3 linked regions of the Drosophila melanogaster genome follow. The protein of the gene in region 1 interacts with the protein of each later gene in a pairwise test. Each region holds a gene or a part of one and is shown on either strand. Other genes may lie near its edges.

Region 1 (5,313 bases):
TGAACTGGCGTAGGCTGTCGTCGATGCCACAGGTATAGACAAAGTCACCCCAGGCGGCAATGCCGTTGATCTGGTTTCCGTGTCCAGTGCCCGTGATGCGATCGTTGGTGCCGCTGCCCGAGTTCCAGTTGGTCACCACGCCATCGTGGCTACCCGTGTATATGGTGCTGCGGTCATCGCTCAGTCCCAGCACGGTGATGGGCTTATTGTGGCCCTTCACCACACGCAGCGGTTTCGAGGGATCCGCCACATTGAGGTAGGTGATCACGCCCGAAAGCGAGACGGTGATTAGGTTGTCTCCTTGCCACAAGCAGGACACCTGCTGGTCGTCCACAGTGGTGCCCATCACAAACTCGCTAACCAGCTCGCGCGACTCCACTGTCCAAAGGCGGCACGTCTTGTCGCCGGAGCAGGTTAGCAGTTGGGTGCTGTCTGGTTTCCAGGCCAATGCGTAAACGCCGCCCTTGTGGGCAGGAGATCCAAATTCGCCCACCAGTTCAGAGCTGGTGCCATCGTACAGAAAGACTTTGCCATCAAAGCCGGCGGAGGCGAAGAATTTGCCATCGGGCGAGTAGCGCACAGCCTGGACGAAGCGAGAGTGATCCTGCTTGGTCATCTTGAACTTGAACGGGGGTCCCTCGAACACGGCGATAGTATTGTCTTCGCTGCCTGTAATAACAAGTGTGTGTGTGTAAGTAAGTTTATTGCATTTTGGGACTATTATGTGAACTCACCCGTAACAATGCGGAATGGCCTGGCTGGCCGGAAGTCCGCCGAGTTAATAGACTTGGACTGGCCACTGATCTCGCCCACAGACGTGCCGGTTTCAGACATAAAGACATGACCGAAACGTTCGCGTCCTTCACCCACGGCAACGATGCGCTGATTGTCTGGCGACCAGCTAATATCCTTGATGGGTCCTGCAATGGGCTGGAACTCATTTTTAAGCAGGTGCTCCTTGTTGACCGTGTCCCAAATGCGAATCTTGCCGGAGGCGTCTGGTGAGAAGAGGAGAAAGCCAAATAAATAACATTGCTCGCTTCAAAACCGCAGATAAGATAAAGAAACCGCTCCAAATAAGGAAATGCTAATCATGACCGTGGCGTGACTCATAGTGGTCACGATTTTTATGCTCTGTTGCCGAAAGCCGGGTGCTCCAAGTGTGAAATTGCTGGGCGAGACTTACCACCAGATGCAATATAAAATCCGCTGGGCGAGTACTTGGCCACGTTCACTGCACACGAGTGCTCCGTGTAGACATCGGCAATGGCTGGATTCTATGGTGCGGAAGAAAGGGAAAAGCATACATACATATTTTAGAGACACTTTTAGCAAATTAAAACAAATTAATGGTAAATGGGATCCTAATTATGAACATAGGTGTTTGGTTTTGAATTTGTTATGTATGTTTCCTTCATTAACATTTCATTTTCCAGAACCTGAATATCTTTTGGCGGAAGATTTTATTTCTTGATCATTAAAGATACCATAGAAGTGGCGGGATTATCGGGACAAAAGACAAAGAAACATGGAAATATTTTGAATTTATACCGATTCAATGGGTGAAAGATAGGCAAACACATAGCTGCTGTGAAGAATCACTTTGACCAGATGAAAACATCATAATGATGATGCGTGGGCGGCAAACAAGAAATGTATCTATGTGCCAGTCTGTGTTTTGCCGGTTGGCCTGTGGAATGGGAATCTGTGTTTTGCGCCTTATATACTGTACATATATATATAAATAAATATAGAACAGCTGCCCGAAAGCCAGAAAGCACACACAAACTGGCAACAGAAACTGCAGCCTGTCCAAAAATAAAACACCATTTGGACGTAAATGCCATGGATTTATGGCAGGAACGGAGCAGCAGGCTGCAGCATATATCAGCTTACCTCGATGTTCCGGATGATCACAGAGTTTCCATTGGTGTACAGGAAGTTCTTGCCCTTGGGATCGGCACCCAAAACGATGGGTTGGCCGCGTTGGGTGCGCGGCAGAGTTGCGTAGATGTTTTCTGCAATTAAGCGATTATTTCGATTAGAAATGGGCTGTGACTGCTGCTACTCAGATAACGCCGGCAAATTGGAGTGGGTGGAAAATAGGGTGCGGCTTCGTTTTTGGGGAGCGAACGGGAACGGGGTCGCTCCAACGGCTCCACACGCGCCTCCTCTTACTGCTTAAAAAGGTCTTTCATATGCATCTATGCCCATTTATGGGCATAATCACGGTGCTTCCGGCGATTGCTTTCTGCTTTTACCGTTTTTCGCCTGTTGACTCATCCCCCTCTCTACGTATCACATTCGGAGTGGGATCGGATTCATGACTCCAGTTTATCTCTGTGGGATTCCAACTCACTGTTTTCGTACGCCGGTGGTTGGGGTTGTGCCATTCTGGTGATTTCTCGGTGCTCCTGAAGCCTTTACTAATTAGTGCGAAATTCCGCGGATAAATGAAAACACCAAACTCAAGTTCGCCGACGATTAGTGGTGGGCTAAGATCGATGTTTTCACCATCGTCGTCATCGATGGTTTTTTCTTTGCTTTATATCGACTTTGCGCTGCGTTTACCCCTTTTTAACAGCGAAGTGAACTGGAAGGAAATTAAAAATATATTGTTCTGTGTTTTATACTAACAGTAACTACTAATTGCTACCGTTTTTAATTATACACTAAAAAATTGTTTTTTTTTTTGGGATTGAGTTTTCAATTTCCTATATTTGAAAAGGAAATATATAATCAAAATTGTATTTTTATCTAATTTAATAAAATGTATATTTTTCAAAAACTATCTAAATATCGATAAATTGCGCCAAATAAATTAATCGGTCTCTGTGGTTCCCCACCTCTACCATTGTTTATATTTTTCATTTTCCGCAAGAATGATGCAAAGATTTCCGACGCAGGCGACCGTGGAGAATCCACGTTATGGACAGCTAATCATAGGACCTCCTGGTTCTGGGAAAACCACCTATTGCGGTGAGGCCCTTAAGTTCTATCGCGAACTGGGCCGTCAGGTGGGCGTTGTGAATCTGGATCCAGCCAACGAAAACATGTCCTACGAACCGGTGCTAAGTGTGATGGAGCTAATCACTGTGGAGGATTGCATGGAGCACCTGAAGCTGGGACCAAACGGAGCTCTAATGCACTGCGCTGAGTATCTGGCCGACCATTTGGAGGATTGGCTGTTGCCGGCACTGCGCAAACTAAGCGCCACTTACAACTACTTCCTGTTCGACTGTCCCGGCCAAGTTGAGCTATATACCCATCACAACGCTATGGCCCGGATTTTCGAGCGTTTGGAGCGTGAAAGATATAGCCTGGTCACCGTTAACCTTATAGATTCCCATTACTGCTCGGAGCCTGCCAAATTCATTGCCACTTTGCTGATGGCATTGAACACCATGTTGCGGATGAGTCTACCCCACGTTAATGTGCTTTCCAAGGCCGATCTGCTAAAGAAGCACGAGACCAAGTTACACTTTAACGTGGACTATTATACGGACGTCCTGGACCTCAAGTATCTGCTGGACAAACTGGACGATGATCCCGCCATGCGCAAGTATCGAAAACTGAATGCAGCCATCTGCTCCATGGTGGAGGACTACGCTCTCGTTTCGTTCCAACTGCTGGACGTCTTCAGCACGGACAGCATGCTCCGCTTGCGCAATCACATCGACAAGGCTAATGGATACGTCTACAAGGCAGGTGAGGAGCAGACGGTCAACTCACTACTAGCCTGCGCCGTGGGTGCAGAAACTGAGGCCGCTCGCATGGAGCATGATGTCCAACCCTATATGGAATAAAAGAACTGAAACTAATCGAAAATAGCCTGTGATATTGTGCATTGTATTTCGAAAATAAGTTATACAAGTCGAGAGTGAGGGATTAAGGTACGGAATGAAAAGCAGTGATTTTTTGGATTTATTAAAATATTATCTCGGCTTGAACTCTTAAACTTTTTTAGTTGTTTTTCTAACCACATATTTTTAAGAGGAAATAAACCTTTAAAGTTGTTTAAATACATTGCAATAAGAATGGTTGATAATCACTTGAGGATCACCTAATCGGAAAACACCAAGAGAACTCTACATTTGAACTTGGAAAATCCAGACCACCACTAGATGTCGCTGCAAACGTTAAAACGTATGATGTATGTAAAATTTTACAGATGTACAGAATTGTACGGGTTTGAATTCAGAATTATTAAATTAAATTTAATAAAAAAAAATACAACAAAAATCATTTCGTTTTGTTTTGTTTTTGGGCTTTGTTGACTTTTTCAGAAAATATGTCAAATGGAGAAAATTGTATTTATATAAATTATGATTTTAAGAATATCCTTTGCTAGGCGAATAAAAATTGACAATTGAACTGATCTAAAATATCAATAAAGAAACTTATACTAAATAATAACTTATTACATAAGAACAGGTATGAATTTCGAAGTCTGGTAGATCTCATCAAAAAGACCCACGTTTCTCGGTAAATTAGTTAGGCTTCAATCAAACAAAAGCGTCCTTTTTAGCATACAAAAACCAAAAGTTCAACTTGAGTCGAAAAGGATCTGCATCTGAACCCTATACTTTGATTTAACTAAAAGCAAAGTCCTCGTTAACATAAATAAAAATTAATTAAGTCCGAGGCGCGTTGTTTTGCGAGATAAGAGCTGGAACGACCGGTGAACATCTCGTGGCAAGCTGCAAATTGTGGCACGTGCACCACAAAACGGGATTGCCATTGACTCCTATACCACGACCAAGTCGTGAGCACTCGGGGGCTCCGTCTTGCAGACACGGGAAGACGCGTTGGGATATAAAAAAGCACCAGGAGTCATCTTATTTTAAGCCGATTCGTGAATCCCCTTTTGCGGGTAGCTTTTATTTAATGAAGCGAAAAAGTTGTTTATTAAAAACCAGCCAAGTTATGCTAATTTACGCTTGTTCTTAAATCTAAAAAGGAGTTATGGATCTTCCTTATACATGTTTAAATGATACGCTTTAGGATTTAAAACTCTTAAGGGCTAAAAAAGAATAAAGAGTTTTAAGAATTTATTGGATTTCTCACCAAAGAATGAGCGTTTACAACAAATCATGAAAGATAAATTTGCTGTATAGCATTGATTATAAAGATATTTAAAAGCCCTCTGCTTAAGCTGGTGGCTCCTCTTTGTAGGGCATAAGAAAACAGCGGCAAAAACGAAAACAGTTATTAAATGCAGCAGGCTCTTGTCAGATTGCAGCAGGCTGGCTGCCAATTCCCCAGTCCCCATTCCCATTCCCAATCCCCCAAAGCACCGATCCCCTTGACCGC
Region 2 (5,299 bases), on another chromosome or scaffold:
CCGATCCCCAAATTTCCCCTCCGCTTCTGGCCATGAGGCAGGCGGAAGGCGGAGCAAAGAGTAATCCAAGCACGAAGAAGACTGTTTCTGAAACTACTGTTTAGCTATCCCCAAATTTTTCCAATGCTTGTCTTCACCCCGCACTGTCCCCCCCCTCTTACCAATCACCCATCCTTACAAAACTGTGTGCGTGTGTGTGCTGATAGTGTGTGTGTATGTGTGTGTGTGTGATCCCCAAGATACCCGTTACTTATAAATATGCATAAATGCAAGAGCTAGCTTGATAACTTGACGTGCGAGGGATGTGGTGGTGTCCACGCTGGCCACTGAGCCCCTCCGTGCACCACCAATAGCTGGGCTCTCGGCACGAAGATGTGACAATGTTCGATCTCATCCGAAGTACTTTCCAAACTAACCGAGCTTTTTAAACACAATCCACCTTTTGTGTCTGCTGTTCCTGCTGCTCTGAAACCAATTGGTGGACGCATCGCGGAAAAGGGAGCACCGAGGCACAAAAGCACCGAGGCACAGCCCTCGGAAAACGCACTCAAATCAAATGAAACGTCCAGAGATATGAATATTTTTTTGCAAGCGACTACACCTAATTTGCAGCACAGGCAGGCGGGGATGGGGATGGGGATGCAAGTCCGTCTTGGCCCAAAACGCTTGGCGATTCGATTCGATTCGATTCAGATGGGACAGTTGGGCAGTGAGCAGTAGGGCGGTGAGAAACCGTAGCGGGGGACTACTGTTCGTCTATATAAACTGTGTATAACTGTGAGGCATTGACAAGTATTTGAGATGATCTGTATTTTTGTAAGCGTAATATTTAAAGCGGCAGCCAATAACGAGACAACCAAATCCAGAGAAGCAACTATAAAGCGTAAGATATCGGGCGCAGCAGCCAACACACGCGACACACAATTTATTTGCTCAACGCAGTACACACCACACATGATACATACAGCATAAATGTAAATATATATATATTTATCTGCATACATATATATATATACAGAGTAAGTTACGCAAAGTATGAGGCTTGCATTTACATTTACGAGCGGGATATATCCTCCATATGTATATGTTATCACTAATTTGCAAAGCTAAACTAAGTCCATATATACAAACCAAATATCGGAGGTGCAAGTGACGAACACACACTATATTGAATGTTTTTGCTTGTTAAAGTAAATAATAAAAATGAAAACTCGAAATCACGAAATCCATAGCCATCGAGGATCACAATCCGCCCATTTACGGCTGAGCCTGTTCCTGTTCCTGCTGCAGTTTGTCCCGCTTGCTCTGCTGGGCAGTCAGGTGGTTCTGCACGAAGCTGTGGAAGTTTTGTTCTTCGGCGGTGCCCTTCGCGTCCTCCTCCATCTCCTCCTCGTCTTCGATTTCCGCCGACTCGGGCACCAGACTAGGTGCCATTAGGAAAATGCTGTTTCCAGTGTGCGGCGGTGGGTCCTGAAATAGTTAAGACCCTGCAGTGGGTGCACAAATAGCCGAGGAACTGTTCCTACCTGAAGCGACAATCCCAGGGGAACGGCATGGCCGTCCTCTTCCACATGATCCACTGGCTTTGGACCCGTCGCACTCTCCGCCAGTCGCTCTTGGCGCTTCTTTTCGTAAACAGGCTTGTAGTCCGTCTCGTACTCGTCCACGCTTTCGAGAATCTTCGTCAGTAGCTGGGTGAAGCCTACGCCTGTCTTGGCCGAGACGCCGCACGTTCTTAGATTCTCGTAGAAGGTGTCCAGGGTGAGCGACATGGTGCGCGTGAGGTTGCTCACGAAGCTGTGCTCCTCCTCCTGGGCCTCCTGGAAGGCCTCGAAGTCTGTCATCCAATCCATCACAAATCCGCAGTCCTTTAGGTCGATCTGTTTGAAGCGGAAAAGAAGTTTTCTATACATCTGGATATCTGGGTTGCCGGGAAAGTCGTTACCTTGTTCAGCGCCACAAGGAAGGGCAAACGGGTCTTGTACAGGATGGAGCAGGCGTACAGCATGTTGGACATGAAGGTGGTAGGGCAAGCACTGCGCTCCACATCCATTACATAGACCACAATGGTGGGAAACATGGTGGCCAGTCCCTCGGTTATGATGCTCCCGGAAGCCGACCAGTTAAACACCTCGATCTGTCCGGGCGTGTCGATCACACACCACTTGTGTCCGCGCTCGCCAGCGCGACGCACTAGCTCCGCAAACTGTGCCATTTTGGTGGTGAACATATTGAGCGCGGTCACAATGCCACCGTTGGGACCCAGTTGGTACTGCTTCATCACCTCCCGGTAGTTGACCGTGTCCCGTATGTCCACGTGCGCCGCGTACGGTACTTCCCTGCACGCCGGATCCAGGTTGACCACGTACGGATTGAACTTCTCCTGGGCGTGCTGGATGAGCTTCTGTGTGAACGTGGTCTTCCCGCTGCCGGCCATTCCCAGCACCAGTATGCACACGGGCGACTCCCGGATTCCCTCGCTCAGCGACAGCGCCTCCAGCTTGATGCTCTCCACTCCCTCTGCCATTTCTCTCACGGCTTCACTAAGAATCAAAACAAAAACAGGAGGCGCAAAAACAAGCGTGCAGAGGCAGTGTGACCGTCCTATGGAAAGTGTGCTCTTTGCGCCGCCTGAATTCGCTTCAGATACCAACAAACATCAGCTGTTGTTGCTGCTTTTTATCCTGCGTGGAAACATGTCGGCCATTACATAGTTAACACACTCCCTTAATCGCAGCAGCCTTCGTGGAATCACACATCTTCAGTTTTGCCAGTTCAGTTTTTGCTTGCCCGCCAAAAAAACAAATCAAAAAAAAATACCGAAGAGTTTAGAACATACCGTATATATCGAAAGCCATAATAAGCTTTAAACTAGTTGTACAGTAATAAAAATGCCACCACCAGAAGCCGGCAATTGAAGCGCGTTTATTTGCCGTGCATTAGTTTTATTATTTGGCATTGTTTTACATAATAAAAGTTGTGAAGCAATGGAGACCCGACTGGAAGTGCTCTTGCGGGAGCCGAATCCATTGTTCACCCGTTGGCTGGAGCGCTGGCTGCGCGAAGCGGAGCGCCGAGAACAGAAGTCCCAGTTTAGCCTGCGCCAGGCGTTGGAGTCCCTAAAAAGCTACCCTCTGCCATTGGCCAGCGGACGAGACTGTTCCATTCTGCGCGGCTTTGGGGGCACCCTCTGCCAGCTAATCGACGAGGAACTTCGCCATCACAGAGGCCTCCAATTGCTGCCACAGGAGGCCGTGGTTCAGGAGCGCTACGAGCAGCAGGTCCAGGCGGTAGTACGCAAGGTTCAGGAGAAGCAGCTGGAACACCAGAAACGCCAGAATAAATGCGACAGGCCCAGGAAGCTAACCAAAAAAGATCTGGCGGAGCTGGCAGCCCTTGAAGAGCGGGAGCGCGTCGTGCGAATGAAACCAGGTCAATTCCAGTTACTCCTTTTGGTGGATACTCAGGAAACCAGTGGCAAAAACAAGAGAGTTCTGGACCAGACGAGGAGCTACTTGGAGTCCTTGGGAGCCCGTCATGAAGTGCGTCGCCTGACAATCGGCGATTTCCTTTGGGTGGCCCAGGATCAAGAGGGCAATGAACTGGTTTTACCCTACATTGTGGAGCGCAAGAGGATGGACGACCTGGCATCGAGTATTCGGGATGGTCGCTTCCACGAACAGAAGCACAGGCTGCAGCACTGCGGCCTGCAGCACATCATCTACCTGGTCGAGGACTATGGCGATAACGAGCAGCTGGGCCTTCCACTGGACTCCTTGCAGCAGGCTCTGACTAATGCCAAAGTTCAAACTGGTGTCCGAGTGGTGCGCACGGCGAATCATTACCGATCCATGAGCTATTTGGCCGGAATGAGTCGCACCCTTGGCCAGATATTCGCCGGCAAGAAGTTGCACAGCGTGGATCGCGGCGCCATCGACCAATCCACCTGCCTGCTCACGCATTCCGACCTGGGGTTGCTCAAGTTTCGGGCCCTATATGAGGATTCCGCAAAGAATGCCCAGCTCACAGTGCGCGAGGTTTTCGTGCAACAGTTGCTACAGCTGCATTCCCTTTCCCTCGAACGCGCCATGGCTATTGTGGAAAGATACCCCACTCCACGCTGGCTGCTGGACGCATACGCGGAGTGTGCAGACCAAAAGCAGGCCAGGCTACTCCTCGCCAGCATCCCGTGTGGACCCCTGGAACGTCCACTGGGCGACAAGATCAGCCAGTGCCTACACGAATTCTACAGCACGCACTTTCGTTAGGATTAGCAATTGATTTTATGGGACATATCTAAGGTTATATACACGAGTTTATACATAAGTGAGAGAGAGAATACGTTGGACATTGAATAGTGTGATCTAGTCTAAGCCAAAAAATGTACAAGTCAGCCGCCCTTAGATGTTGCGGAAGTGCCGGATGGCCAGGTCCACCGGCAGGTCGAAGTCAAATCGAGAAAGAGCATCGATGGAGCGCAGTGAGTCGCGGAATCCGGTGCGGGCCACGTAGCTGTCTGCTGAGTAGTACGTGTCCACCAGTTCATGGCAGCTGAGGATCAGGTTCAGCCACTCCACCAGCAAATGGGAACTGTTTGAAGGAAGAGAAAAGCATTTCGAATGAAAGAAGTGTGATAAAAGCCAAGGTAAAGGTCTATCCCCGCGTCCCTGTTAGCCTTATGCTTAAATTAATTCGGCAGACTGCAAAGTCAAAAGCTACCTGCACCTAGCTAAATATATTAATATTTACATATTTATATTTACATGTTAAAGCAAAAAATCGATTAAGCAATTCATTGATAAAAAAGTTTAAGACAGTAGAGAATTGACATTACCGCAGAATTGCTGATAATTGCAGTAAGAATATTTTGATTTTGGACACTTGTAATTATAAAAAGTTTGTGTGTCTCTTGCTCTTTAAGATTCCTCTTTGCCAGGAAAATAACTATAAAATGAAGATTTGAAGATGTAAAAGGCTAGTGCTTCAAACTATGCACCTGTAAATAATATGGTATTGCAAAGTTATGCGGCTTGTAAATTCATCTTAACTAACATTCCTTCGATTTCCCAGCGTTTAGCCCATGTAAATAACTCACTTGAGTCCGGCGCAGACGAAGGCTTTAAAGTGCGCGTTGTTACTCCGTTTGTATGGACGATGCATTGCCAGAATCATGCCCACGGCGCTGAGCAAACTTTGCTTGGCGGTCACAGCCTGCGCGTCCACGATGTCCAGCTGGAAGCTCTGCGACAACTTTCTGGCAGGCGTGTTGTTGTACTCCTCGCCGTGTTTCAACCTATAA
Region 3 (6,467 bases), on another chromosome or scaffold:
TACTTAACTACAAAGTTTTCAGATTATCGACAATCAGACCGACAAATTCACTTTCAATTTCATTCAACAATTGTGTATTCCCATCTTTGAATCTCCAGCTGCGACGAGCTTGTTGGATTAATTTGTGTTTTATTTTTATAACGAGCCAGGCAAAATACCCAACATTGGGGTGCTGGGAATGAGTTGGGACAAATGTGAAGGCCAGACGTCACTGCCATTCACTGCCACCCATTGCCACCCATCATGACGAGACTTCTTTTTTAAACTTGAGCTGTTTTTCCTACCTCAAAGGAAAATAAGCAAAGTTCAGATGCGAGGCGTGTGTTTTTTCTTCTTCTTCTTCTTCATTTTTTTTTTGTTTTTTTTGATAGGGGAAGTGGAGCAGATTGCAAGCGATATCGCTGCAAACTACAAGTATACGTATCTTTTCGCGATTTCGCAGTCAGACTCAGTCGTGCTCAGTCAGTACCACTTGCACCCATGTTCGACCCATTTTCTAGCTGGCTGTAACGATTTCCTGTTCGAACCGTGATTGATGACAGGCGACCATGGAGCAGGAAGGTGGATATCTGTTGGATGCAAAAGTCTTAAGTACACGCAACAGTGAGCTGCTTGATTGGATACCTGGATACATGGATACTTCGGCAGTTCGGCACTTGCGAGTAGTGCCCAGTAACATTCACCGCATTTCACGCCCGTTGCACTTTAATTGCCAACTGTTTTCCGATACCGCGGATATCATTTCATAAGTTCTTAATTACGTATACGACGGGGTGGCCCGCAGCACTGGCGCTTCATCAGGGTGCCAGTAAAATGGGTTGGTGTCAATCGTGCAATGCATTAGCTACATGTCATTCCAACTTAAATGAGTTATTTAATTGTAAAAGTTTTTCGTTTTTTTGTTCAATTTTCAGTTATATCCGTTCAGTTATCATTTATATATGTATAAATGACTGCCGAGTATGCCAAAAATTCGTTGCCTCAACCATGGTGTTATTCATTTTGCTACTGATTGAATTTCTCTGGGGCTTTCGGCTTCTAATTTCGTTCGCCCTACCTAAGGTCATCACCCCAATCACCTTCCCCGTTTGCCCATAAGCAGTTTTTGATTTACATGGCCAGAATTGAATTTATTTATCTCCCTCTCGTCAAATCGCATTCTCCCTTCCGAAAATTCTGATTTGGTAACAACAATAAAGCAGATTGGCAGTGAGGCAGCGGAGCAGTTGTAACCGAAACAAAATAAACGGAATTGAAATGTCCCTGGACCTGGTCATGATTTATAGCATTGCATAGCGACTGGATATTCTAAACTTGTTGGTACTAACAAAAAACCCGTCGCTTTCCCACACTTCCTTCCCCCCCCCTCGTACAAACATAAAACAAAAACATAAAAATGAAATAAAATATTATTTGAAATATGTGTGCTGTGCGAATTCCATGATTGAGCATAAATAAAGTGTATAGTAAGCTGGCACAAACAGAGCTCATGAATTTGGTAAATAAACTGTTTTGACAACTTGGGGCTCGTGTGCGCAAACAAAAAGGGTTTATTTTTTCCCTTCTGTTTTTTAGTTTCACTGCCAGGAGTTCTGAACTACCGGTAAATTGCTAAGCAGTGAATAATTCTATATCCTCTAGTACTCCTCTCATCGCAAAACCGGAAAACAAAAGCCCTTTATAGCCTACCATTCCTCTAGTTTTCGCCATTCCTTGCCATTGTCCTAGTGCTCCACTTGTTTACTTTAAATGGAAGGGCATTGTGTTAACCAGAACACAATATTCACTTCCTTTGGTGCAGGTTATTTCACCAGATATTTGTACATATATTAAGCTATCCAGTTGGCATCTTTATGAAATCATTTGTTTTAAAAGAAGAGTTTCCGAAACAAGAAAATGGATTTAAACATTTAAGCCTATTATGCAATAAAATAAATAGGCATTAGGTAAATTAAGAGCTGATTTTAAGATGATGAGCGATGTGTGCAATCATAATTTGCGCGGGTGCTAACTGCGGCATGTGCCCCGAATATCCTGGATCTCTCGCCTGTCCTGCCTTTTTCAAGCTGGCTTCGTAAAACCGTCACAAAGTAACGCATGTGGAGCTTAACGACTGCGACCATAATGTGAGGACAAGCTGCTCCGTCTCAACGCCATCAAAACCGGACATGACATCGGATTCGGCTGGAAGCCAAGAGTCTTCTTGGGTGAAAACCTGAACCTAAGACCGCCAAAAGAAACACGTTGGAATAAAAAAAATGCACAGCAGAAAAGAGTAATAGAACCATCAAAGTTTATATGCTTTATGTTTTCACTTTTAACGCTTTTTAGGGCGGAACAGAAAGGCATGGCGCAAAAGGCAGATGATGTAGCGGCCCATTGTCATCGAAGATGATTTATTGCCCCGACTGCAAGTGGCCAAAAAAACAAAAAAATCATGATTATTCCGTTGTCATAGCGTAAGGCGTACAAAGAGGCGAGCTGAATTATCGAGTATACGCAGCGTTGGTCACCGCTGGCGGATATATATTCAGCTGCATTTAAGCTCCTCCGCAGGCGAGCTCATAGGACGGTGTCCTGCTGCTCTTGAATATCGCATTCTCAAGACCTTCTGCTTAAGAATTTCAATAACATTTTACTCATATTTACAGCCTTCTTTGTACATCACGTTCCCTTATTTAAGATGTTCGTTTTTAGTAAGCTATTTGTTAATTTTTATTACAGAAGTAGTTTATAAAGTATAAGAAACAAAATCTCATGGTAAGTAAGTTTTTTCAGTAGGCTGGAATTAAGGTAAGCAAGTATTATCCGAAATATTTCAGAAAGGTCCTACGGAGAACTTCACGGCAGTAAGTCGTTTAGCCAGAGCTTTTCGGAAAAAGCTTTCGGAGTAGCAGTAACAGGTTCGCCTGTTGGCAACAGCTGGCCCAAACCGTTTACGGCCAAGTTAACAGGGAAGCAACAGTGCGCTGGCCGATTTAAAATAGCGCGTCCGCTGACAAGACGACTCAGTTCCTGTTCAGCCACAGTCGGTTACGTTTGCCGTGAACCGAGAGCCCCCGGAAAAGTAGTGTCGAGGATTAGAAGTGTGGAGCAGTTATATTCAGTATCGAAAGGAGTCAGTCAGAACAGATCCCAAATCGGACAATCCGATCGAACATTTCAAATCCAAATCCCAATCCAATTCAATTCCAAATTTAAATTGAAAATCAAAATTTTTTTGAAAGACACTGTCTCGCGTGCTCATTGAAATATCAACAAAGAAATCAAGGTTTGAACTCTGGTTCTTCCTCTCATTTGGTGTCTGTTGTACGTATTTTTTTTTGTTAATTTTTTGAAAGTGCGTGCGTGTTATGGAAAGTTTGTTTGAGGGGCTTTCTTTTTGAACAACAAAACACCAGCAGAAAGAAGAAAAAAAAAAAAAAACACACGAACCTAAAGCGAAAAAAGTAGGTAACAACAAAGCGGCTAAGCGGTAAAGTCGGAGGTCAGGTATCCTTGGTGCCCCTGTCCAGCCAGCTATTATAAGCCATCGTTTTCCTTTTCATTTTTTTTGCTTAGCTCGGCTCTTTCGAGGTGTAGTATCCAGTTTATGCAGACCTATGCAGAAAATTTTATTTTATTTCATTTCGTTTGAGTTTGGTTTGGTTTGGTTTAGGTTCGTTATTTCCTCTTGCTCTTGCTTGGGTTCCGGTTCCTTTCGTCTTTCTTCCTATTTTGTTTTTTTTTTTTTTGGTAATTTTGTGTTGCTTTTTCATATTTGATGAGGACGTGTTCGCAGACACAGGGGGGTGTCATCTATATATACGCTATCCTAAAACAGAAGCTCCAGTTCCTCTCCTTGGGCACCGTTTTATACTTTATTTATCTGTCGTACCCGCCCACTCAGACTCATCCACCCATCCAACCGTGGCCTTTTGTTATGCATGGCCGTGTGAATCATTCATATGCAAATGCTGTGAAAATTCCCATTTATGTTTTGAGGAAACCCGTAGAAGCCACAGAAATAAGAGTAGTTCTTCTTATGGTCTTGCGGTCTTTCTGGTCCTTTGATCCGAGTTGAAGGGTATCAGGTATTAGGAGAATGGGGTATGGGGCATTTGTAGTCAAACGATCACAACTGGCCGCCAAATGCCATATTTTGGTATCCATTAAGTGTTGCCTACTTATCGGCGGCAGCTGATAGCTCTGCTTTGTTTGTCCTGGCCAATTACGCCGGTGAGCAGTTCATTTGCGACCATGACTAACCGCTTTCCGCCCTAATCTAATCGGCTTTTGCCCTTCAGCCCGTTTGATTCCTAATCGTATGTGAATGATTCGAGATTTGCGGTTCTGTCTGCTTCGCATGTGCTATTCAATTTGTATTTGTTTTTTTTACTATGTGTTTGGTTAAATAAATGTTTATGGATGTAGAGAAAATGTTACTTACCTTATTTACTTTGCAATCATAAATATTTAATCATGAAAAGAGTTGGAATGTTTGTATAGTGGCTTAAATAAAGTTTGCGCTGAAAAGCATGCTACACTTTTTGCTTAAACCCCGAGTGGGGTTTTGAATCCCTTTAACAAATAACCAAATCCACAAAGTGGCGATGTTCTTACTCCTTTTTTAATTACTTGAATTGTCCGGTGCTTCACTATATATATGTATGTATATATGCTTTAATCCGCTCTGGGTGATCAATTGTAATCGGCAGGATGTTGACGCATTAAGCCCCTTGTCCGTCACAGCCACTGGCTCTTAGCCTTTTTGCTGCTTTTCCATTGCGGCTCAAAAACAGGGAGATATTTCTGCTCTGCAAATTAACAGATTAGTGGGATAATAAATATAGATTTTTAAAGCATTTAAGTAGCTTCCCAGCTAAAATAAATCATCCAAAAATTAACTCAACTTGCTCTATTTGCGCTTTGCCACTCATTATTGGTAAGGGAGTTAATTTTATATAAATATGAACGTTATTTTAATGGGTCTTCTTCAGTCCAACGCAGTTTCTAATTTACTCGCCCGAAGCGTTGAAATAATATTATAGTTTCTCTCCTACCTTCGCCACAATTTAAAATCCAGTAAGGAGAACTTTTTGCTTTTTATTTTAACATTGCGGCTAATTTGGTCCGACCATCAAACCAACAACAGACAAAAAGAAAATGTAAATGAAAAAAAAACACCAGGAAATGAGGAAGAAAGTAAGAAAAGTGAGGGCTGGGTGTAAGAGGCTTTCCACCAGCCACAGCAATTAATTTACATTAATTTTCCTTTGTTCGCATGGCATTGTTTTGTTTCGTTTCATTTCTTCTTTTCCATTTTATTTTTTTACTTCATGCCTGGGCAGCCGCAGCGGCAGCAGCGATTTTATTAAAAAACAATTACAACACTTGGGCATCTGCTCTGTACCATTTCATCGCGACCTGGAAAGGACCCGTCCATATTAGCAGGACCTAGAAAAAAGAAAAAAACCCGAAACGGAAAGAGCCAGGATGTCGGACAAGCAGCAGGAAAAGGAGCCAATCCCCGAGGAGGAGCAGCAGCAGGAGCAGGAGCGGGAGCATGAGGCTCCTGGCAGCAGACATGCCTGTTGCGGATCTGGACCGGATCCGGAAGCGGAACCGGAAGTGGAGATGGATGTCGAGGTGGAGGAGGCATCGGGATCAGCAATTGGCGCTGCAGCTGCTGGCGAATCGGATGCACCCGCTCCGGCCAATCCAAATCCGGGGCTGGAACGCGACAGGGACAGGGACTCGCACGGCGACAGGTGAGTGAAGCGAATTCCGATACAGATTCCCATTCCGATAGCCATTCCCGTTCCGAACACTCCATCGACATCCAGCCCATCCTCGCGCTCCGAGCGACCTTGTCAATATCCATTAGCTAATTGGGCATGCGATGTTGTGGAGGCAAGTCGGGCCAAAAGTTGGGCCTAGTCTGGCCCGAAAAGTGAAGCCAACTGTCCCAAATTAAATCAACACCATTACAATATATCGAATAGCATGCCCATACATACATACATAATTTAATTATATTAACCGATATGTATATATATATATATATATTATACGGAAATTAGTTCATCCAATACAACAAGTAAGACATTATAAATATGTAAAGTTATAGGTCTTCTAATGTATGTTTAACAAATACCTATTAAGTATAACCCTATAATATAGTATTTATTATACATATTATGTATATAATCCTTGTAAAATCTTTGAAATCTCCAGCTTGAAACAAACGCTTAATATACAATTAACTCCAAGTGTTTTAAAAACACAGAGTCATAATATAATTACACCACTCCAAATGACTTCGGTGTCAATTAGCCCAAGTTGACCCACTCTTTAGATCGCAATCCTTAACCTAATCTCATACCCTAATTTTCTGGGTAAAAACCTTTGTTGACTGCTATGTACAACGAATTAACACATTTTGCAGTTTGGTGGGGGATTCCAATTGGGGAAGCTTTATAAATAGA

Evidence for each region.
Region 2: the proteins of CG10222 (region 1) and CG3704 interact in a two-hybrid assay, tested with the Drosophila melanogaster proteins (one large-scale study listed by BioGRID).
Region 3: the proteins of CG10222 (region 1) and CG32683 interact in a two-hybrid assay, tested with the Drosophila melanogaster proteins (one large-scale study listed by BioGRID).

What each region holds. Positions count from the first base shown.
Region 1 is NT_037436.4:13,410,022-13,415,334, reverse strand, and holds CG10222 (uncharacterized protein), read left to right. Parts: upstream 1-2,881; 5' UTR 2,882-2,882; coding exon 2,883-3,806; 3' UTR 3,807-4,213; downstream 4,214-5,313. Other genes in the region: flr (flare), read right to left, coding at 1-669, 735-998, 1,187-1,277, 1,897-2,018, 2,360-2,393.
Region 2 is NC_004354.4:938,207-943,505, forward strand, and holds CG3704 (uncharacterized protein), read right to left. Parts: upstream 2,600-5,299; 5' UTR 2,528-2,599; coding exon 1,946-2,527; intron 1,881-1,945; coding exon 1,527-1,880; intron 1,471-1,526; coding exon 1,258-1,470; 3' UTR 964-1,257; downstream 1-963. Other genes in the region: mus81, read left to right, coding at 2,988-4,268; CG3703 (uncharacterized protein), read right to left, coding at 4,401-4,590, 5,096-5,299.
Region 3 is NC_004354.4:10,451,440-10,457,906, reverse strand, and holds the start of CG32683 (uncharacterized protein), read left to right. Parts: upstream 1-3,011; 5' UTR 3,012-3,271; intron 3,272-5,414; 5' UTR 5,415-5,475; coding exon 5,476-5,750; intron 5,751-6,467.